Linked DNA regions of Ovis aries. The protein of the gene in region 1 interacts with the protein of each later gene in a pairwise test. Links are inferred from orthologs where the notes say so. Each region holds a gene or a part of one and is shown in the gene's direction. Other genes may lie near its edges.

What was found.
Region 2: the proteins of WWP2 (region 1) and FBXL18 interact in a two-hybrid assay, tested with the Homo sapiens proteins (3 studies listed by BioGRID and IntAct). The link is inferred for Ovis aries from reciprocal best matches to the Homo sapiens genes WWP2 and FBXL18.
Region 3: the proteins of WWP2 (region 1) and ATN1 interact in a two-hybrid assay, tested with the Homo sapiens proteins (2 studies listed by BioGRID and IntAct). The link is inferred for Ovis aries from reciprocal best matches to the Homo sapiens genes WWP2 and ATN1.

What each region holds. Positions count from the first base shown.
Region 1 is NC_056067.1:36,514,900-36,522,282, forward strand, and holds part of WWP2 (NEDD4-like E3 ubiquitin-protein ligase WWP2), read left to right. Parts: intron 1-108; coding exon 109-180; intron 181-409; coding exon 410-498; intron 499-2,575; coding exon 2,576-2,735; intron 2,736-3,965; coding exon 3,966-4,099; intron 4,100-4,326; coding exon 4,327-4,467; intron 4,468-5,168; coding exon 5,169-5,289; intron 5,290-5,615; coding exon 5,616-5,720; intron 5,721-6,867; coding exon 6,868-6,964; intron 6,965-7,144; coding exon 7,145-7,217; intron 7,218-7,383. UniProt on the Homo sapiens protein: E3 ubiquitin-protein ligase which accepts ubiquitin from an E2 ubiquitin-conjugating enzyme in the form of a thioester and then directly transfers the ubiquitin to targeted substrates.
Region 2 is NC_056077.1:39,242,496-39,249,878, forward strand, and holds part of FBXL18 (F-box/LRR-repeat protein 18), read left to right. Parts: coding exon 1-391; intron 392-3,463; coding exon 3,464-3,682; intron 3,683-7,383. UniProt on the Homo sapiens protein: Substrate-recognition component of the SCF (SKP1-CUL1-F-box protein)-type E3 ubiquitin ligase complex.
Region 3 is NC_056056.1:209,364,564-209,371,946, reverse strand, and holds part of ATN1 (atrophin-1), read left to right. Parts: intron 1-898; 5' UTR 899-1,059; coding exon 1,060-1,086; intron 1,087-1,339; coding exon 1,340-1,477; intron 1,478-1,614; coding exon 1,615-1,728; intron 1,729-2,420; coding exon 2,421-4,405; intron 4,406-4,556; coding exon 4,557-4,779; intron 4,780-5,144; coding exon 5,145-5,841; intron 5,842-6,730; coding exon 6,731-6,874; intron 6,875-7,198; coding exon 7,199-7,379; intron 7,380-7,383. UniProt on the Homo sapiens protein: Transcriptional corepressor. Recruits NR2E1 to repress transcription. Promotes vascular smooth cell (VSMC) migration and orientation. Corepressor of MTG8 transcriptional repression.

The sequences.
Region 1 (7,383 bases):
AACCTGGGGGTGGAGGGTAGGGGAAGCTTATTCAACAGACAAGTGATCAGATTGAATAGTTACCACCAACGCCCCAATTTGAGGTCTCTGTTTTCCTTTTCTTTTCAGTCAAATGCTCTCCCCAGCCACGTGAAGATCAGTGTTTCCAGGCAGACACTTTTTGAGGATTCTTTCCAACAGGTTAGAGAATAATCACTGAGTCTAAGACCCAGGGCAGGGAGAAGGCCCGCTGCTACCACCCTGTCTTCTCTTGTGTGGCCCTTTAAGCCCACATGATACGGTTTTCAAGACGTGGGCCTTGGTTATGGGGAATCAGCCGAAGAGCAGGCCTGGGAGTCCCTGGTCGCCTGCCCCCAGCCTGCCATGGAAGGGAGAATGGCAGGCTGGCCATGACCTTCTGTCTCCCCAGATCATGAACATGAAACCCTACGACCTGCGCCGCCGGCTCTACATCATCATGCGTGGCGAGGAGGGCCTGGACTACGGGGGCATCGCCAGGTGAGCTGGGAGCCCCAAAAGGCCGTGCTGCTCCCTGCTTCACCAAGCTGCAGGGCACTCGGCCAGGAAGCTGCCTCCTTGCTCAGACAGTTGCCAAAGCTCTCCTTTACCTTCAGGAGTGGGCAGGGGTGTGGGTGGTCCAAAGGGGTGCTGGAACTGGTTCCTGGGGTCCCCTTCTGGGCTAGGCATCAACCCTCTAATTGCTGGGTCAAGGGGAAGCTGGGGGTTGGTTTCTAGGGGAGCGGTTCAGGATGATGGCTCTTTTAAAAATTTTTTTAATTTTGTATTGGGGTATAGTCAATTAACAAACTGTCGTGATAGTTTTAGGTGAACAGTAAAGGGACTCAGCCGTCCATGTACGTGTATCCATTTCCCCCCAAACGCCCACCTCCCATCCAGGCTGCCACATACCATTTGAACAGAGTTCCATGTGCTGTATAGTAGGCCCTTGTTGAGAACAATAGTTCTTTGCCAACCAACCTGTCATTATTTCTTTATTTTACCCATCTAGTTGCACCAGTGGGCAGTGGTTAGATATCGGTATTAAGTGGTTGTCCGTTGGAATCGACCCTGGACTTCACTTCCTCTTGAGGCAGCTGGGGTGGGCTCAGTTGGGGGTCTTGGTGTAGATCTGGCATATATACATTGTGTCCCAATCCAGAGGGTCTTGATAAATACTTGGCTGCATGTCATGTACACAGTGACGGTAAAATGAAAACAAATGGTATACTCCTAAAAAGAACTCAAAGCATTGTCTTGCCCTCACCCCAGTGCTGCTACAAAAGTTAATAGATTCTCTGGCAAAATGTTGCCTTGGATGATGGGGCATAAGGGCCCCGGCAGAGAGGAGGAGCGTCTTGGCTGTGGTGACCGCTCAGCCTGCCGACCTCTCTTGGTGTGGGACATCTTCTCGCTTGGTGTTGGGTTAACTTGCTCCCGGTCCTTTGTGTGCTGGTGGCGTTGCCCTCTGTGTTGGCCCCCGTGGGTCGATTGCTCTTTTTTTTCCGTGGTGACCGTGGTGACCTCCTCTCTAGGCTCTCCTTGGTGGTGTGGCTCCCGCCCCGTGTGTGTCTGTCTCTCTGTGTCCTGCCAGTGGTTTTACCCTATGGTAGGTTACGTCATGCTGTTCTACCACAGGGTAGAACCACGGACAGGATACCGGGGCACCCTCTGCATCGAAGAGATTCCTCGTCTGCCCGGCCACAAACAGCCCAGCAGCCAGGGACTGCCCCCCTTGGGACGTCCCCCTGCTTGTGTAGCTCAAGCCTCAAAGGACTCTGAATTCTGGCTTGAAGCTTGTACCTGGGGTGCAAAGAGATGCTAAGGTGTGGGCGTTGGTTCAGATGAGTTCGTGGACATACAGGGAAGGGTATGGTGGTGGGTCTGGGGTGAAGGGGTGGTGGGGTGGTGGGAGCGAGGTGTAGACACAGCCTGATGAACAGAATTGTCCCGCATCAAGGATTAGGAGCACATTACTGTGTATTCGTATTAGACTGCTTAGGTAGGCTGGAAGCAGGGTGACTGCTGCTCATAGAGCCCTTTTGCAAGATTTAGAAAAAAAGTGTCCTTTCTCAAGACACTTCTGTGCTGGAAAATGGTCACAATATACTGCTTTTATTAGGAAAAAAAAGGCAGCTTGATGCTATTTGCAGGAAATTTGTTGTGACAAATGTACACATCTGTCATATTTTAACGTCACACCCTTGTGCAGTGTGCAGTCTATACAACTGTGCATGGCAACCCAGAATGGCGGAGCCCCTTTGCCATTAGATGCTCTGGATATCAGGCGGAAAGCCCCAGAATACCACACCTGGAGCCAACACTCACACACACGGGTGTGCCTGAGCATTGCTGTCCAGGGCAGTTGCTGTTCTGATTCACCCTAGGTCTGGCCCTGCCCTGTTCACTGACCAGCTGCTCACAGAGGTTAGCCCAGGGCTGATCCCAGTGGGGCTGCCTCCTCAGGATGCATGTCTCCAGACTAGGTACTACTTGACGGCAGAAAAGACTCGGACCTGCAGAGCAGGTGAGCAGGGTGTGGTCCATTAGTCCTGTTTTCCTCTCTCTTCTCTCACAGAGAGTGGTTTTTCCTCCTGTCCCATGAGGTGCTCAACCCCATGTACTGTTTATTTGAATATGCCGGGAAGAACAACTACTGCCTGCAGATCAACCCTGCCTCCTCCATCAACCCTGACCACCTCACCTACTTCCGCTTTATCGGCCGATTCATCGCCATGGTAAGATTCATGGCTGTCGTCAGACCTCCAGGGAGTGTGGTCACAGACCTGTAGACCACCAGCAGCTCTGGAGACTGGGTGCCCACTCTCTGAGCCCCACCCTCATCCTTACAGAACGCCTCACTAAAGATGCAGAAAGCTAGTGAGAGTTCTGGAAATAGTCCAGAGCTCTCTCAGTGCCCACCCTAGGGCACTGAGGAGGTTTTCACGTTGATTTGTGTAGGACTTGTCAAGAGAAAGCCCAGGGTCCCCGGATTAAAGTCTTCACTTAACACTCAGTGCATGTGCTGTCAAGGGTGGGGGATGACGGGCCCGTCTCTGGGTGTTGCCATGAGCTGGGTGGCGGTGTCTGGGAGTGTCCCACTGAGACTTGGGCCTTCTGGAAGGGGATGGGGAATCTACACTAGCTGAGAACAGGGAGCAAGGTGATCGACTGGTGCAAGATGTTGGAGTCATCTGGCAGGAGGGAAGGGCAAGGAATGGGGAGTCGGGCGTTTGTATTTATGTAGAAACGGGAGCACAGTGTAAATTTGGAAAGGGCGTCACCTCGTGTGCATCCTGTTGAGTACCTCGTGAGCACTGAGACCCAGGATGGAGAAAGGGGAGCCCTTTGAAGGCCCGGTCCCTCTGCCACATTTGGTCGTTGAAGAGCTTTCACGGCTAATTTGCCTTTGCTTCTTCCCCTCACTTCCTGAGTGAGTGTCTGCCCTGCTCCCCTCTCAGGAGGACCCAGGAGCCCATGACTAAGTATATTCCTTCTCTTTGTCTGGAGGTTCTTGGCCAAGGTGCTAGGGCTCAGGAAGTGGGCACATTCTTCCCAGGTCTAGAGACCCGCCTGGCCCTGTGGCTGACAGGACAGACCAGTAAAACCCTAGACTATTACTCACTGCTGGCCCGCCAGCAGCAGCAGGGGTGTCTGCATTATTTTTGGCTGCCTCTGCTGCCCAGCTCGGAGCAGCAGTGAGTCAGGGCCGCCACCTGGGGCTGTGCTGAGCGAGTCTCCTCTGTGTGGGTGGAGGTAGACCTCTGCTAGAGCGAGGGGCTGGTGGGCATGCAGTGGGTCAGAGGTGGGTCCTTGTGGTCTGCAGGTGGGACCAAGAGGGCTGCAGACCTAGCCTTCAGGCTCCTGGGAGAGCTGGATGCTCAGGACCTCAGGGAGCAGTAGTTGGGCTCTGATATGGGGCATCTGAGGAAAACCAGACCTCTCTGCCATGTCTCTTCTGTCCCCAGGCTCTGTACCATGGAAAGTTCATTGATACAGGCTTCACACTTCCTTTCTACAAGCGGATGCTAAACAAGAGACCAACCCTGAAAGACCTGGAATCCATTGACCCCGAATTCTACAACTCTATTGTCTGGATCAAGTGGGTCCCCTCTGTTGCCGTTTGCTGGGAGAGGAGGGGTCTCTGGATGGGTAGTAGGCGGGTGGAGATGCCCAGCTTCTAGGTCCCCCTGTCCTGGGACGCTGTTCTGGGCTCCAGGCCACCTGTGAGTCCTCGTGTCCCACCGGCACTGAAAGTGAGTGACGGGGCAGGACGGAGGGAACCCTTCTAAGACAGACACCTTCCCTCTTGGTCTCTTGTGCTCCCAGAGAGAACAACCTGGAGGAGTGCGGCCTAGAGCTGTACTTCATCCAGGACATGGAGATCCTGGGCAAGGTGACGACCCACGAGCTGAAGGAAGGGGGCGAGAGCATCCGAGTGACAGAGGAGAACAAGGAAGAGTACATCATGTGAGTGGAAAGCGCTAGGGAGCCGGTGGGGCCTGGGAAGTGGGGGCAGAGACACAGCCGGCCGCAGAGAAAGAGGCTCACACCCTTATCCCAGGGCACCATCTTCAGCTAGGCCCCCTCGTGTGGCCCATGGGTCTCCAGGGATGGGAAGAACCTTCCGTTTTGCACTGACCCTAGACCACTGCCGTGGCAGTCATGTGCTGGCCAGAGCTGGGTAGCCAGAGCCCGAGGCCCTGTGTTCCAGCCCCCGGGTGCTCCTTGTTCCCAAGTTGCAGATTCATGACTGCAGGACAGAATTTCTTTGAAGAGGCATAAAAGTTCGACAACTCCTTCTTTGTTCTCCTAACTGAAAGGGCACCTGTGTTCTGTCTACTTAAACCCACTGTCACCTGTGGGATTGTACACGAACATGCCTGTTCACTTCAGGTCCCTTGGGCCAGTCTTTTAACCCCCGTTCATCTGAGCTTCAGTGAGCGGTGATGGGAGGAGCAGGAGGAAGAGATGTTGAAGATTCAGGTGTCTGTGGGTTACTGTGAGGTTTTAAAGGCTGTGCTCTGGGGCCGAAGTTGCCCAGGTATCCCGCCCCCCAGGTCGGCTCTCGGCTGCCTCCTTGCTGCCAGCAGAGGCCACCTCCCTGCAGACCCTGAGCTGCTCCAGAGGAGTGGGTCTCGGGCTCCGCCGACGGTCAGTCTTGGTTTCAGGCTGCTGACTGACTGGCGTTTCACCCGGGGCGTGGAAGAGCAGACCAAAGCCTTCCTGGACGGCTTCAACGAGGTGGCCCCCCTGGAGTGGTTGCGCTACTTTGACGAGAAAGAGCTGGAGGTGAGAGCTGAGTTTGTGGGGACCCTGAACCCCTGGGCCCTGGGGCCGCCCTGCCCTTTGATAGCCTCGCCGAGCACCCACAGCAACTCACCAGTAAAACCCAGGATGGCAGCAGCAGGCACATACGGTCAATTTGGGTCTTGCACCTGCCCTTACATGGGCTCTTGTTTGCAAGGCGTTATCATGCAAGACTTGGGCTACCCATACTGTTAAAACTGCCGGCAGAGGTGTGCGGAGTGCTTCCACCTGCCAGGGAGTAGACGGGGCCCTGTGTGCCATGGGGACAGCGCTGGTGCCGGGTGCCTGACACCCCCTCTCCTCCGTAGCTGATGCTGTGCGGCATGCAGGAGATAGACCTGAGCGACTGGCAGAAGCACACCATCTACCGGCACTACACCAAGAACAGCAAGCAGATCCAGTGGTTCTGGCAGGTGGGCCCTGCGTCTGTCCCCACAGAACGCACGGGGGCTCTGGGCGGGCGTGTTTGGGCGGTACCCCCAGGAGGCGAGACCAGATTGAACCCCAGGCTTTTGGATGCTTGTTGTGTCATCACCTTCCTCGTCTCTAACACTCTCCTCGCCTCCCCCAACTCCCAAAAGGAGACGAGAAACCCAGCCTTGGGACGATCGGAGCTGGGTTGCGGCCACTGCATTTGACAGGAGGTAGTGTTGGCAGTGGGCCAGCCTCAGATGCTGGTGTGCGGGCTGTGGGGGAGGGGGCCGTGAGCAGGGAGGAAAGTTCTTGTAGGTCACGTGGTCTCCTTCCAGCCGGACGGAAAGCGTGGGCTTGGCTCCAGAGAAACTGAAAGAGCCCCTTGTCCTGCATATAAGGAATCAGTTGCTTTGAATGTGCGGGTCTTGTCGTTATCATTGTGCAGTATAGCATACATAAATGAGCAGAGGTAGGCTTTCTGTTTAGGTGGAGTTCACATACCATAAAATTCGCCACATTAAGTGTTTGGAGTGGCTCTTACAATGGTTTCTGACAGTGTTGTACCCACCATCACCACTGTTGAATTCCAGTACATTTCATGTCCCTCAGAAAGAAATCTCACACCTATTAAAGCAGTCAATCTCATGCTTTTATGTTTTTAAAGATGCAACTTGGGGGACTTCCCTCGTGGTCCAGTGCTTGAGCGCCCACCTTATGGTGCAGGGGCCGCTGGTTCAACCCTGGGTATGGGAGCTAAGATCCCGCATGCTGCAGGGCAACTAAGCCTACCGGCCACAACTGGAGAGTCCGTGTGCCACAACGAAAGATCCTGCATGGGCAACCAAGACCCGATGTAGCTAAATACATACATATTTTAAAAAAAAAATGGAACTTGGCTGAGGAGGAGAATTTCTGGCCTGAAACCAAGAGATGTCACATAGACTGGTGGGAATGATGTATGCACACAGCCTCTTAGAGCGGCTTTGGGGTTTCCCAGGGAGTAACTGTCACCCACTCCCACAGACCACGCTGGGGCTCCATGTTCTCAGCCCCAAAGAGGGGCCCTGGCTCATTGCAGAGTTACAGGTCAGTGCAAAGTGCTGGGCCAAGTGGGCCCTGACTCTGCCTGGGCTTGTGGGGCTCCAGGTGGTGAAGGAGATGGACAACGAGAAGAGGATCCGGCTGCTGCAGTTTGTCACTGGGACCTGCCGCCTGCCTGTTGGGGGATTCACTGAACTCATCGGTACGTTTTCCCCGCCCTGCTGGTGCCGTTGGGTGGAAGTGAGGACAGCTCAAAGCAGGGACAAGACCTCCTGTCTTCCTGGAAGCAAGCCAGTGGGACTTGTCTGTGGTGGTGTTGGAGGGTCCTGCCTCAGGAAGGGGCCGACTTGTCATAGACAACATGTGTTCCTTTGGATAACAGGTAGCAATGGCCCACAGAAGTTTTGCATTGACAAGGTTGGCAAGGAAACCTGGCTGCCCAGGAGCCACACCTGGTGAGTGTGCTGGTTGTGGGGGGAGGTGGCTGGAACCCAAGACCCGATGAGCCCCCAAGAGCAGCCCTGAGGCCAAGGCGGCTTCAGTGCCTTGATCCTGGCAACCTGTGTGTAGTTCCACGGTGCTTAGGTTTGGGGAGGCACACCTCAGCCCCTGAGCCTCTGA
Region 2 (7,383 bases), on another chromosome or scaffold:
CTGGGCCGGCAGGCCCCCAGCCGTCCTCGGTGTTCTGGTCGCTGCTGAAGAACGTGCCCTTTCTGGACCGCCTCGAACTGATCGGCTCCAACTTCTCGTCCGCCATGCCGCGCAATGAGCCTGCCATCCGCAACTCCCTGCCTCCCTGCAGCCGGGCGCAGAGCGTCGGGGACGCGGAGGTGGCTGCCATCGGCCAGCTGGCCTTCCTGAGGCACCTGACGCTGGCCCAGCTGCCCAGCATCCTGACGGGCTCGGGGCTGGTGAGCATCGGCCTGCAGTGCCAGCAGCTCCAGTCGCTCTCGCTGGCCCACCTGGGCTTGATGGGCAAGGTGGTCTACATGTCTGGCCTCTCGGACATGCTGAAGCACTGCAAGCGGCTGAAGGACCTCAGGTGAGGGGGCCCGGCCGCCCCTCCGCGGCCCCTGCGGGCCCTTCCGTGGCCTCCAGGGCACAGAGGGGGGTGTGGAGTGCAGCCTTGAGTTCGGCAAGCGTTTGCATTCCTGCCACGTGCCTGCTGAGACAGAGGGCACAGGCCTGAGAGTCTCGAGGGCTGGGGGCTTGACCAGGGTCTGACAGTGTGTAGTGGGGGGTCTGTAGGCATGGGCTGGAGCGACAGCGCTTGGTGGCATCCCGGCAGAGCACACAGGAGGCCGTGCTTCTGAGCCCAGGCTGGGACATCGCCCTCGTCGTTGGCTGTTTGAATGCCTGTGTCCCAGAGGCTCAGGCACTGGTCAGAGAGGGGCCCAAGAGGTGGGCAGACGGTGAGGGGAGTCTGAGCCCCTGCCTGTGCCCACAGAGCCTCACGGAGCAAGCTGTGGAGGCCAGATCCTTACTGGGCGGAAGGGTGAGGGACGACGGGCGGGGCGCCCACACACTCCGCCCCAGGGCACAATCAATCATGGCAAGTGCCCCTTCCTCCTCCTCTGCCCTGGTGCCTGGCTGCAGACACTGCTGGTCACATGCACTGAGCTTGGCTGGCCCTCCAGTGCTGGCCACCCGCAGGTGGAGTGGATGGGCCCCCCACGCCCACCACACCTGCTGTGAACACCTGTGACGGGCGTCTTTGGGGACCGACCTGGGGGTGGCGGGCACATTAAGGAAAGAGAAAAGCGTTGAGAAGTCCGTGTGGCCTGCGCACTGTCCTCTTTGCTGCTTGAGCAGCGAGATCCCCAGTAGGAAGCGGGGCCCCACGTCGCCACCTAGTGACCGCGGCGCCGCAGCGTGTCTGTCGCGGGCTGGCGGCATGGCCGTCCCACAGGCGGCCAGGGCTGGGCTGGGGGGTGACTGCAGCCCAGCAGTGCTGGGTCAGGGCTTGTCTCCCCTGCCCCAGGGGGCTTCCTTCCTGCCGGACCCGGAGAGAACGTGAGGTCTTTCAGAATCACGCGCAGAAGGAGCCCCGTTCCCCACCGTTTTAGGAGCTTAGGACTTCTACCTACATGTGATTAAAGCCCCCAGCTCCCTGCTGCGTTTCATTTCAGGGCCTGGTGGCTCCCGTTTGGGATGGCTCTGAACAGACATCCCATCACCTCAGACCTGGTTTTAAAATCCCTTCTCCATCCTGTGCCTTGTCTGTGTCCCTGGGCATCAGGAGGCTGAGTGCGGGCCCTCAGGCTCTCGTTTGGGGAGGGGGAAGACAGCCCCTTCCCCATGTCTGCCTCGCCCACGGCGTCGCTGCATTCAGAGCGCTCAGGCTCTCCTGACGCCTGGAGGCTTTCTGCTCCCAGCAGAGACCCACTGCCTCTGAGGGGAGCGGGCTCAGTGGTTCTTGCTGCTTGTCCTGGAAGCCTCTCCTTTGATGACGAGAGCCCCCGGCTGCAGACCAGCTTCTTGGGGGCTGCCCAGGAAGTCACTCTCAGTTTACTGGGCAAGACGGGCCTTTCGGGGTTCCCTTTGGGTCTCACATGTTGATGGAGGCCTTGCCAGCCTCCCAGGCTCACCGAGAGTGTCTGCGTCTGTCCCAGGTGTTACACCGCGTTTGTGCAGGGCCTGGGCCTTGGCGGTGGGGGCGGCTGGACCCAGAGGGCCCAGGGCTGTGTCACCCCGAGTGTGGCGGTGTTACACCACGTTTGTGCAGGGCGTGGTTTGTGCAGGGCCTGGGCCTTGGCGGTGGGGGCGGCTGGACCCAGAGGGCCCAGGGCTGTGTCACCCCGAGTGTGGCGGTGTTACACCACGTTTATGCAGGGCGTGGTTTGTGCAGTGCCTGGGCCTTGGCGGTGGGGGCGGCTGGACCCAGAGGGCTCAGGATTGTGTCACCCCAGGTGTGGCGGTGTCCCCACAGTGCAGGCATGGCCTGGCCGAGGGCTGTCCTGTGCCTTCCTCCCACCCTCGTGCTAACAGGGAGGGTGAGGGCCCACAACGGCCCGCACAAAGGCCATCAGAGGCCTGGGTGGCTGGTTGAGAGGGAGCCTTGGCTGGTGCCCACTCGCCGCCCTTTAAAATGTTCTCCTGGTCGGTCATAGGGGTCAGATGTAGCTCCCTGAGCTGCAGTTTCCTACAGATGTGCCCGAATCTCCATCACCCCGTGAAGTCCTCCTCCTCGCCTGCCGCAGCGCCTGTGCGCCCTCTGCCCACGCTGGGCGGACGTCTCTGGCCGGCCTCTCCCTCTTGTGTCGCCAGCCTTGAAGTGGCTCGGGCCAGGTGACCGTGGACTCCCCCAACAGTCAGTGAGCTGTCAAAGCTCAGGCGACAGCCACGCATGTCTGAGAAGTACCACTGGGGCCTGGTGCTGATCCCCAGGGATGACCCTCATTAACAGTTTTCCTTGTGGGAAGCTTTCAGGTGGACCGGATCCACGCTGACCCCTGTCTGTAAGGCCGTCTAGGTCTTCCTGTGTGATTTACCAGGAAACGATCTTAACTCTGCTTGTGCCCCAGCTCCCTGCCCCGGGCTTCTGTGCCAGTGTCCTGGGGCTGCCCTGACAAACGACCACCACCGGGGTCACCCAAGACAAAGGGTCATCCTCTCACAGTCAGGAGGCCGGAAGCCCCAGGTCAAGGTGGGTGGGAGCCTGTGCCAGGCCTGCCCTTCGGCCTCTGGCGACTGCGGGCGGTGTGAACATTCTTGGGGCCGTGGGCACGTCCCTGCAGTGCACCCCGGCTGCCACAGAGCACCTCCGTGTGCTGTCTCCTGGCCTCTGAGGGGCCGGCCATCGGACCAGCTCCTGCCCTAGTCCTGCGAGCCTCATCGTAAGTCATTTGTGTCTGCAAAGACCCTGCTTCCAAACAAGGGCCCTCTCCCCCACAGCCCACGCAGGTCCCGAGGGGTGGGGCTGCAGCGCATCTTCCGGGTGCCCGGTGCAGCTGGCCCCTATGCCCCTCCCCATCCTCCCGGCTCTCAGGCACTCTGAGAAGGCAGTGCAGCCCGCAGAGCGGGCCTGCTGGGCCTGTGGGCCCCCGGACAGGAGCCCCGCTCCACACACATCCATCGCCCGCCGTCTCACGCCACGTGTCCTGTCTCCCCGCAGGTTGGAGCAGCCCTACTTCAGCGCCAACGCCCAGTTCTTCCAGGCGCTGAGCCAGTGCTCCGCGCTGCAGCGCCTCTGCCTGGTGTCGCGCAGCGGGACGCTGCAGCCCGAGGCCGTGCTGGCCTTCATGGCGCGCTGCCTGCGCGTGGTGGTATGCCATCTGTTCACCGGCGAATCGCTCAGCACCTGCCGCAGCCTGCAGCAGGCCCTCCTCCGCAGGTGAGTGCGCGGGCCCTCACAGGCGGCAGGACCCTCCTCCTCGTCCTCCGGCTTCTCAGGAGTCCCCGGGGGACAGCTGAGAAGAGCCCGGAACCCACACGGTGCCACCGTCACCCTGCAGCCTTAGGCTCCGGGTGTTGTCTCCCCCTCAGGTCGTTTTTCTGCACGGGTTCGCTTCAGAGCCCCTGTCATGCCTGATGGGCCGTCTTCTGGAGAGCTCTGGGCCAGCTGGTTGCCTGGGGAGGCTGCTTCCAGCCCTGCCTCACACGAGGGTCTCTGCCCCCTTTCCTGGGAGCCTCCACCTCGAGCCGCAGAGGCCTGGCTCTGTCCCCGTGCTGTTTGCTGACTGGTGCTCATTCCCGCCCTCCCAACCCCGCTCCCCAGTGTGCAGTTTCCTAGAAGTGATGGGCGTGGCCAGGAGTGGCCTGGCTGCGTGCTCTCCTACATGGCCATCCCAAGCCTAAGCTCCCCTGTGGCTGGGAGAGCCCCTGGCCCACAGCCTCACCCATGTGAGATGCCGCCAGCCTCTCCCGGGGCTCCTGGGTGAGCGCGTCCTCGCACCGTGAGTCCACGTGGTGTTTCCGGGGAGCATCGTTTCCATGCCCGTTGCCGGGTCGCGGCTCCTCGGTGGTGGTCGATCCCCTCATTCCTGGTGGGCCCTACTGCGGGGCTCTTTCAGGGACGGGCAGTGCTTGGGGCCAGTGAGCCCACAGTGCAGCTGCCGTGCCATCGCCTGTTGTGGGCCCACCTCTCCGCTACTGGCTTTCCCTGCCATCCGTGTTCACTGTGGATTCAGGTTACGGCTGTGGGTCCAACAACCTCCCCTACTGACCCTCCTACGCCCTAAGCTTCCTCTTAAACCTGCCACTTGTCCTGGCCCCCGGTCCGAGAACGCAGGCAGCAAAGCCTTTTGGTTGGTGTATAAAACTCAGCTCCGTGGGCTTTGAATGACAGCTGCGGGGAATCTCTGGGGCACCTGCCAGACGTGAACCTGACCCCTGCGTGCGCAGAAAGTTCAGAGACTCCTGTAAATGCTGCTGCCGTGGGTGTTAACCTGGGCACCTGGCAGCTGCCTTTGGCCAAGTGAGTGTGTGCTGTCGGTCTAGCAGGAAACGGTGAACTTGGCTTCGCCTGCAATTTGTAGGGAAGCAGTTAAGCGATGTCGGCAGGGTCCACTCCGGTGGGACACTCCAGTTCCTGTGACCTCTCACCTATGTGCTCCGGAAGCTCTCTGTGGCACTCCAGAAGTTCTCCTGGTCCCTGGAGTCCTCTGCGAGGGCCAACTATGTCAGGTGCAGAGATCCTTCTGGGGTTTCTAAGCCTTCCAGCGCACACTGGAGAAGTCAGGGTTGGGGGTGGCATGTAAGTCTCAAGACAGGTTGACTGCAGTTGCCTCTGGTGGCTGTGTGCCTGCCAACCAGGCCTGGTGAAGCCCTTCCCGATGCTAAAGAGTTTTCTTTTTTCAGTAAGTGTGCTAAGTCGCTTGAGTCGTGTCCGACTGTGTGTGACCCTAGGGACTATAGCCTGCCAGGCTCCTCTGTCCATGGGGTTCTCTAGGCAAGAATACTGGAGTGGGTTCCATGCCTTCCTCCAGGGGATCTTTCCAACCCAGAGAAGATGGTATTTTTAAAAGATCTGTAAATACGCGTAACCTGAAGCTTACGGCTTTGACTGTTTCACGGTGTGTGGTTAGCGGGACTGAGCACACTTACAAAGGGAGCCACGTCCCGCTTTTGCTTCCGTGGGCTGTGCAGACGTCTTCTCAATCTCCAGCCTTCCATGTGTCTGCACTTCGTTCAGATTTAGAAGCAGCAGGTGTTTGAGGGGCTGTAGGCAAGGGTGGAGAGCTCTCAAGATTCTGCCTCCTTGTGGGTCTGTGTGTCCCCCTTGCCCATCCGGGCCTTTGCAGAAGGTGTGCAGTGTTCACACACCAGGCCGTGTCCTTCCCTAGCGGGTCCTGGAGTTTGACAACCGGTCCAGCAGGAACGTATATCAGCCCCCAGGACTGGAGTGTGGACCTGGAGCAGCCCTTCCCGGGGAGGGGCGTCTGCCCCGAGTGGGTCCCCAGGGGCATGAAGCGCTTAGGCCCCCTGGAGAGGGAACGTGGTGCCACGGCAGTGCCCCTGGTAGCCGTCGAGTGTGGCCCGGGGGTCCCAGCCCCCCCTCCCAGATCTCCATGTCCCGCGGATGGGGAAATGTGACGGAAGAGGCCAGGCTGGGCACAGAGTTATAGACGCTCCATCAGCCAGGAGGTCTCTGGAGTCATAGGGCTCAGGCCGCCCCACCACACGGTCCTTGTGGGGTTGCCGGTCCTTGCAGTTTGCTGTCGCCTTTCTCAGGAGAAATCCTAGCAAGAGTTTTCTCCTCCCTGATGTTCACGATCTTTCTAAAAACTTAGACTGTGGATCAAGCTGTTTTCAAGTGGAAGCTCCCCTTGAAAGTGGCCAGCAGTTCTAGGATGGAGTTGTTATGTGGCTTTGTGCTGATTTTGTTGAGTTAATGCTCCATCAGGGGAGTCTCTGTGTGTTGTTAAATCTGCACACATTCCCTTTTAATGCCGTCTGCCGTCCGTCCACAGGACGTTGTGGTGGCTCTGGCCTGGCCTTCACAGCTGACTCTGCACTCGTGACGCCCTCTTCTCTCAGCCTGCACCTGGGAGCCTGGAGAACAGCCGGGTGTTGTGGGGGGGCACTCCCCACTCACCATTGTGTCTCTGCCCTTGGTGTCCAGGCCTGAGGTCGACGTTGGCTGGGTAGACTTCCTGGCTGCAGGCTGGGGCCGTGGCGCGGACCCGCTGAGCGGCTGAGGTGCCCGGAGCCCTGTGCGTGCTGGGGCGTGGCCCCCCCCATGGGCTCCTCCTGCCATGTCCTGCCTCTGTGGTTCCCGCCGCCCCAGAGCCCTGTGAGTTGTGCGCCCCGAGCCCCAGCTCAAGTGGCGAGACCGAGGCTCTGAGAGGCGGTGGAGGTGTAGCGGGACCCGCGCTGGAAGGACGCATCTGTGTTCCCACAAGGCCTCTACTGCGGGGCATGGGGTCCCGGCTGCGCTTCTGCGAGGTGCCCAGCAGGTGGTGCCTTGGCTCAGGGTGATGGCGCCAGCTTCAGACATCACAGCAGGACACGTTCCACCCGGAATCATGACCAGGAGGGGCTTGTCGCCACCTTTTCTCGCGCGGTTCCCTGCCTCAAGCTCAGAGGATGACTGAAGCATCTGCCCGCTCACCTGCACGCCTCTGAGGCCCAGCGGTTACGATTCCAGGCTTTCCCTGGCACGGCTGGGGTTCCATCCCGCATCGGGGCACCGAGATCCCACAAACCACCCGGTGCAGCCAAAACAACAAAATAAGGCAAAACAACACAGAAGATCACGTACGGAGCGTGGCCTGCCGGCCCTGTCACTGGCAGAGACCTGAGTGTCCTGGGCTCCTGCCTGCACAGCCGAGGGGACGGGCCCCACACAGCCTTCACACCAGGCAGACAGCCGGGGGCGCGGGACAGAGAAGGGACCCAGCCGCCCCTGTGAGAAAGGCCGGAAGAGCCCTGCTTCTGGAAAGTGCGGGGCGGGCCGTGGTCCGCTCTGGTACAGGTGGTGGTGACCTCCTGGAGGGGGTGGCTGCAGAGTCTCATGTGGGCGCTGGTCACACGGGGCCACACGGCCCCTGGAGCACGTTGGTGCAACCCTTTCCACCCCTTCAGGCAAAGCCC
Region 3 (7,383 bases), on another chromosome or scaffold:
TGCGCGCCTTTGCCCTGTTGAATGGGACATTGTTCTCCCACCTACTCTAATGTGAAGAAAGATTCTTTTCATATCTCAGAGACTGATCTAGGCCTTCTGAGAATTCTCCTCACCAACTTCTGATGAGAGTATAGCTAAATACTGAAAAAAGAGCATGCGCTTGGAAGTCAGGGGGATGGGGCTTGATTCTGGCACTGTGTCTAGCTCCTCACTGTGTACTCATCGCGTGAAGTTGGGCAAGTCACAATCACAATCTTTGATCCTCAGTCTCCTCACCTATATAATGGGAATAGTAAGACTACCTCTTTTATAGGGTTGGGCTTCCGTGGTGGCTCAGCTGGTAAAGAATCCACCTGCAATGTAGGAAATATGGGTTCGATCCCTGGATTGGGAAGATCCCCTGGAGAAGGGAATGGCTACCCACTCCAGTATTCTGGCCTGGAGAATTCCCTGGACTGTATAGACCATGGGGTCGCAAAGAATCGGACACGACTGAATGAATTTCACTTTCAGGGATGGTTGTAAACATGAAATGAAATTGGACTTTATGTCATCTAAGGGCTTGACATAAGGCACTCAATAAATCAGCTTATATTTCAGGTACATCTCTTTGTGCTCCTTTTGTAAGGCTCTGTGGAATTTTGTGTGCGCATATATTTCCAAGGGGGAAGTAGTGTGATCTCCTGAATTGGGGCGCATAGAAACACCTGTGCTTTCTGCCTTCCCGAGAGATGAAGGGGATGACCTTGCCCTCACTCACAGAAAGCTGGATCGGCCCATGGGCAAGCCAGCAGTGTGTCATGGCCGGGCTGCCCACTCAGCCCCTTGACAAGTGCAGCAGTACCCCCTTCAGGCTCTGTTGTCCAGTTTGGAGACTCTGATGGTCTTTTTCCAACAGGCTTCACTGCAGACAGACCCTGCAAGTTCCAGGTGCTGAAAACTCGGAGAGCCTGCTTCTTGCTTCCCAGGCTGTAGCTGGGGGGAACTTAGGGTGAAGCAGAGAAGTTTCTGTATCCAGCTGCCCGGGCAGAGGAGAATGGGGTCTCCACAGCCTGAAGAATGAAGACACGACAGAATAAAGACTCAGTGAGTAGGAGCTAAAATGAAAGACACAGAAGGCCACGGTCAGGGAAGATTCTGGCCTGTCCCAGTGCCCTGCTCACCCCGGCCACCCTCCTCGACTCTTTCCTCCCTCCTTGCTTCCTCCCCAGACAGCCGAGCCTGGCTTTGAACCCCATCTTTCCACGACAGCCACTGGAGGGGAATAGAAAGAAGGCACAGGATGCGGTGAGGTGTGATGTAGAAAACCGCATCATCTGCTCACTTCCTTCTCCCTCAGATGTCAATGAGGAGTGGACGGAAGAAAGAGGCCCCCGGGCCCCGGGAAGAGCTGAGACCGAGGGGCCGGGCCTCCCCTGGCGGGGTCAGCACGTCCAGCAGCGATGGCAAAGCCGAGAAGTCTAGGCAGACGGCCAAGGTATTCTGTCCCCACGTCCTGCCACAGGATGCCCGGGCACTGGGGCTGATGGTGTATGTGTGTGTTGTGGGGAGCTTCCTGTCTGGCCGAGGGCACTGGTGGAAGTACAAGATAGGAATTTTCTTTCTTTCTAACAGAAAGCCCGAGTAGAGGAAGCCTCCACCCCAAAGGTCAGCAAGCAGGGCCGGAGTGAAGAGATCTCAGAGAGCGAAAGTGAGGAGACCAACGCACCAAAAAAGACCAAAACTGAGGTGGGAGACCCTTGTCGCCATCATGACCCATTTTCTTGACATTCTTTCACCCAAACTTTCTTTCACTCACAATTCTTACTTTAATTTTGTCTGCAATATGAGAGAAAAGTCTTACCTGAGTGCTTATGGAAGTGGCCTGTCTGGATGTCAGTCAGATCTTTAGGGCTCTGGCCAGAGTGTCAGGTGACCAGGCAGTGCCAAAGAGGAATGGGTAGAGCATGGGGGATTCTAGGCTCTCCCTTTCTAGGGCCTGGTTTTCAGGCAAGTTCTGAGGAGGAGATCCAGGGTGAGAAGTCTCAGTAGGAGGAACAAGTAAGTCATAAAGAGCACGCAGAAGCGGTCTTCTTAAGAACCAGTGGTTTCTGGGATGTTTAATTAGAAGGGTGGATGAGATGAGAGGATGGCAGATGGGCTGGTGGAAGATACGGATTTGGGTTCAGCTGTGGAATGGGAGGAGATGCTAGAGATGGATGCCTGAGGAAGGAACTGGGTGAATGCCTGCTAGGGAGCAGCAGAGAGACTGTGAGAGGGGAGGATCCCCAGAAGGCCAGGCGGTGGGCTTGAGCAAGAGTACTCTTCCCGTTGTGGTGCAGTTGTGTGCTGTCGATGGGAAATCGTTCTGTGCCAGCGAGGCCCCAAATCCAGGGGAGGCAGGAGAAGCAAAGGCCACCATGGCTCTCCCTCTTGTGCAGCAGGAGCTGGCCCGGCCCCAGTCTCCCTCCGATCTGGACAGTCTGGATGGGCGGAGCCTCAACGACGATGGCAGCAGCGACCCCAGGGACATCGACCAGGACAACCGGAGCACGTCTCCTAGCGTCTACAGCCCTGGAAGCGTGGAGAATGACTCCGACTCGTCTTCTGGCCTGTCTCAGGGCCCCGCCCGCCCCTATCACCCACCTCCACTCTTCCCTCCCTCCCCTCCACCGCCTGACGGCACCCCCCGACAGCCAGAGCCTGGCTTTGAACCCCACCCTTCTGTGACACCCACTGGATATCATGCTCCCATGGAGCCCCCCACATCTCGGATGTTCCAGACTCCTCCAGGGGCCCCTCCCCCTCATCCACAGCTCTACCCTGGGGGGTCTGGTGGGGGGGTTTTGTCTGGACCCTCACTGGGTCCCAAGGGGAGTGGGGCTGCCTCTTCAGTGGGGGCCCCTAGTGGGGGTAAGCAGCACCCCCCACCCACCACCCCCATTTCAATATCAAGCTCTGGGGCTGGTGGTGCTCCTTCAACGAAGCCGCCTAACACTCCAGTCGGTGGTGGAAACCTACCGTCTGCGCCACCACCAACTTCCTTCCCCCACGTGACACCAAACCTGCCTCCCCCACCTGCCCTTCGACCCCTTAACAATGCATCGGCCTCTCCTCCTGGCCTGGGGGCCCAGCCACTACCTGGGCATCTCCCCTCCCCTCATGCCATGGGGCAGAGCATGGGTGGACTTCCTCCTGGCCCGGAGAAGGGCCCCACTCTTGCTCCTTCACCCCATCCTCTGCCCCCTGCGTCCTCTTCAGCCCCTGCCCCCCCAATGAGGTATCCTTACTCATCCTCTGCTAGCAGCTCTGCAGCAGCCGCCTCTTCCAGTTCTTCTGCCTCTGCCTCCCAGTACCCCGCTTCCCAGGCACTGCCCAGTTATCCCCACTCCTTCCCTCCCCCGACCAGTCTCTCTGTCTCCAATCAGCCCCCCAAGTATACGCAGCCTTCTCTCCCATCCCAGGCTGTGTGGAGCCAGGGTCCCCCCCAACCTCCTCCCTATGGCCGCCTCTTAGCCAACAGCAGTGCCCACCCAGGTCCCTTCCCTCCTTCAGCTGGAGGCCAGTCCACAGCCCACCCATCAGCCCCAACACATCACCACCACCACCAGCAACAGCAACAGCAGCAGCAACCACCACCACATCATGGGGGCTCTGGGCCCCCTCCCCCTGGAGCATATCCTCACCCCCTGGAGAGCGGTGGTTCCCACCATGCACACCCCTATGCCATGTCTCCCTCCCTGGGGTCTCTGAGACCCTATCCACCAGGGCCAGCACACCTGCCCCCACCTCACAGCCAGGTGTCCTACAGCCAAGCAGGTCCCAATGGACCCCCAGCCTCCTCTTCTTCCAATTCCTCTTCCTCCTCTCAAGGGTCCTACCCAGGTTCACACCCCTCTCCTTCCCAGGGCCCCCCAGGGGCGCCCTACCCCTTTCCACCGGTGCCTCCGGTCACCACTTCCTCGGCCACACTTTCCACGGTCATTGCTACAGTGGCTTCCTCGCCAGCAGGCTACAAGACAGCCTCCCCACCTGGGCCCCTGCCGTATGGCAAGCGAGCCCCGTCCCCAGGGGCCTACAAGACAGCCACTCCACCTGGATACAAGCCGGGGTCGCCGCCCTCCTTCCGAACGGGGACCCCACCGGGCTACCGAGGCACCTCGCCACCCGCAGGCCCAGGGACCTTCAAGCCGGGGTCGCCCACCGTGGGGCCCGGGCCGCTGCCGCCTGCGGGGCCCTCCGGCCTGTCATCCCTGCCCGCACCGCCTGCGGCCGCCGCCTCTGGGCCGCCCCTGAGCGCCACGCAGATCAAACAGGAGCCGGCGGAGGAATATGAGACCCCCGAGAGCCCGGTGCCCCCGGCCCGCAGCCCCTCGCCCCCTCCCAAGGTGGTAGATGTGCCCAGCCACGCCAGCCAGTCGGCCAGGTGAGCGCCGGGGCTGGGGTTGGGGGTGGCGGGCGCGGGATGGGCCCTGCGTTCGAGTAATGCTTTTCAAAGTACTCCAGGCCCTGCTCTCGGCCGCCACTGGGGTTGCCGCTCGCAGGGGCTGAGCGCACGCTACCTCGGCGCCCGGCAGGTTCAACAAACACCTGGACCGCGGCTTTAACTCGTGCGCGCGCAGCGATCTGTACTTCGTGCCGCTGGAGGGCTCCAAGCTGGCCAAAAAACGGGCCGACCTGGTAGAGAAGGTGCGGCGCGAGGCCGAGCAGCGCGCGCGCGAAGAAAAGGAGCGCGAGCGCGAGCGGGAGCGCGAGAAGGAACGCGAGCGCGAGAAGGAGCGCGAGCTGGAACGCAGCGTGGTGAGTGCGTCACTGTGCGCGCCTCCCTCCTCGGGGCCGCCCTCTACGCGACTCAGGGAGGTTCGAGGGGGTGGGGCCATGCGCCACCTGTCGGACAGGAGGAGCCTTGGCAACCCAGGAAATGGAGACCAGAGGATTCCAGCGGCAGGAATTGCATCCTTGGGCTGAAGAAAGGTAAGCTCAGGTCAGAGTACCCATGGATCGTAGGAAGAGCATCTCTCCTCTGTAGAAGAGAAGGGGCAGGGAAATCCCTGGTAGGCCGAGTTACAGTAAGCTGAGGCTTTAGGCATTCAGGTGCTGAGACAAATTAGCAGCTGAGGACCGGGACCTGCCTTGTTGACCCCGCGTCTCCCTGTGTCCCACAGAAGTTGGCTCAGGAGGGCCGTGCTCCAGTGGAGTGCCCATCTCTCGGCCCAGTGCCCCATCGCCCTCCGTTTGAGCCGGGCAGTGCTGTGGCTACAGTGCCCCCTTACCTGGGCCCCGACACTCCAGCCCTACGCACCCTCAGCGAATACGCCCGGCCCCACGTGATGTCTCCTGGCAATCGCAACCATCCGTTCTACGTGCCCCTGGGGGCAGTGGACCCGGGGCTCCTGGGTTACAATGTCCCGGCCTTGTACAGCAGTGACCCAGCAGCCCGGGAGAGGGAGCGGGAAGCCCGTGAACGAGACCTGCGTGACCGCCTCAAGCCTGGCTTTGAGGTGAAGCCCAGCGAGCTGGAGCCCCTACATGGGGTCCCTGGGCCAGGCCTGGATCCCTTTCCGCGACACGGGGGCCTGGCTTTGCAGCCTGGCCCCCCGGGCTTGCACCCTTTCCCCTTCCATCCGAGCCTGGGGCCCCTGGAGAGAGAACGTCTAGCGCTGGCAGCTGGGCCCGCCCTGCGGCCTGACATGTCCTACGCGGAGCGCCTGGCGGCTGAGAGGCAGCACGCAGAAAGGGTGGCCGCCCTGGGCAATGACCCGCTGGCGCGGCTGCAGATGCTCAACGTGACCCCCCATCACCACCAGCACTCCCACATCCACTCTCACCTGCACCTCCACCAGCAGGATGCCATCCACGCAGGTGAGACTCCCTCGTCCTTGGCCAGGCCCTTTGAGATCACCTTGCATCCTAGAAGGTCATTGCGCACTTCTGTTGCTCAGGCCTGGACTTCCCACCCCACATCTGGCCTGAGCTGCTCTGTTGAGATTGCTGCCCAGGTCTTTGCCTCCCCAGCCTGTCTCCTCCTACCCCAGCCCTACTACAGAGACCCTGCCCCACACCCCAGCCCCATTCAGGTCTGGCGTCTCCCCCCACACCCCATGGTAGAAGCCAGAGGTGGGGACCTTTAAAGCAGTGTGACCTTCCTCCCCTCACAGCCTGTCCCTGAGCCCTTCTCATAACTATTTCCTTGCTCCTATGGGTTCAGCTTTATTGTTTCTTGCCATCTTCTCCATCCAGGCAGAGATGTTTCATGTTCCTCTCCGAATCTATAGATATGTGACCTTCTAGAAAGCCCTGTGGCTCAGGTTGTGGGATCACAAGTGACAATGAGCTTTACTCACAATGAGTCTTTCTACTATTTTTCTAATTGTCAGAACACTGCCCCCTCTAGCCTTCCAGTCACATTCATTCCAGGCTCCTTGTGCTCTCTAAGTTCTTCCCTGTCTCATTTCCTAAACTTCCTTTTCTCTTCCATCTCTTCTCGGTAGTCCACTCCCTATTCCTCAGGTCCCTCTGAGAACTGGAATCTCCTGTCCTCTGCCATCCGTCCATCTGTCCCTCCTGCAGTAGGGTCTTTCGCTGTCCATCTCCCAGACCCCTAGCCCCTCCATTGTGCCTTTTTTGATTCACTGGATCACCCTGTGTTTGATCGTCCACCTCTCTTCCCAGGCATGGAGCCCTTCACCCAAATGCATGGTTTTCCCCAAACCTGCCTTCTGGTGACACCTTCCTCTTCTCTACCCTCCAGCCTCTGCCTCGGTGCACCCTCTCATTGACCCCCTGGCCTCAGGGTCTCACCTTACCCGGATCCCCTACCCAGCTGGGACCCTCCCCAACCCCCTTCTTCCTCACCCTCTGCACGAGAACGAAGTTCTTCGTCACCAGCTCTTTGGTAAGGATGGAGGTTGGGGGTGGGGACGGTCTCTGGAGAGAAAGAATGGAGGAAGTTAGGTGCTGGAATTAGTCTTATTGGGCTTGGGGAGAGGAGAGATGAGGAGGTGGCGGGAGGAACTGGGAATGGAAGCTGGACGCCTGAGGTCCTGGCCGAGAGGCACAGATGTTAGGGTCAGGCTCAGAGGCCTGGATCCTAACCACCTTGGCAGCTTGCAGGACCAGCTGTCACCTAAGGTGATTAGTTGCGGTTCCTCTGTATGTACAGTGTCTGGCCACCTGAGTACCTCATCACTCATGTGGACCCTGCCCTTCCTGCCCACAGCTGCTCCATACCGGGACCTGCCAGCCTCCCTCTCTGCCCCGATGTCGGCAGCTCACCAGCTGCAGGCCATGCACGCACAGTCGGCTGAGTTGCAGCGCCTTGCGCTGGAGCAGCAGCAGTGGCTGCACGCCCATCACCCGCTGCACAGTGTGCCGCTGCCCGCCCAGGAGGACTACTACAGGTAC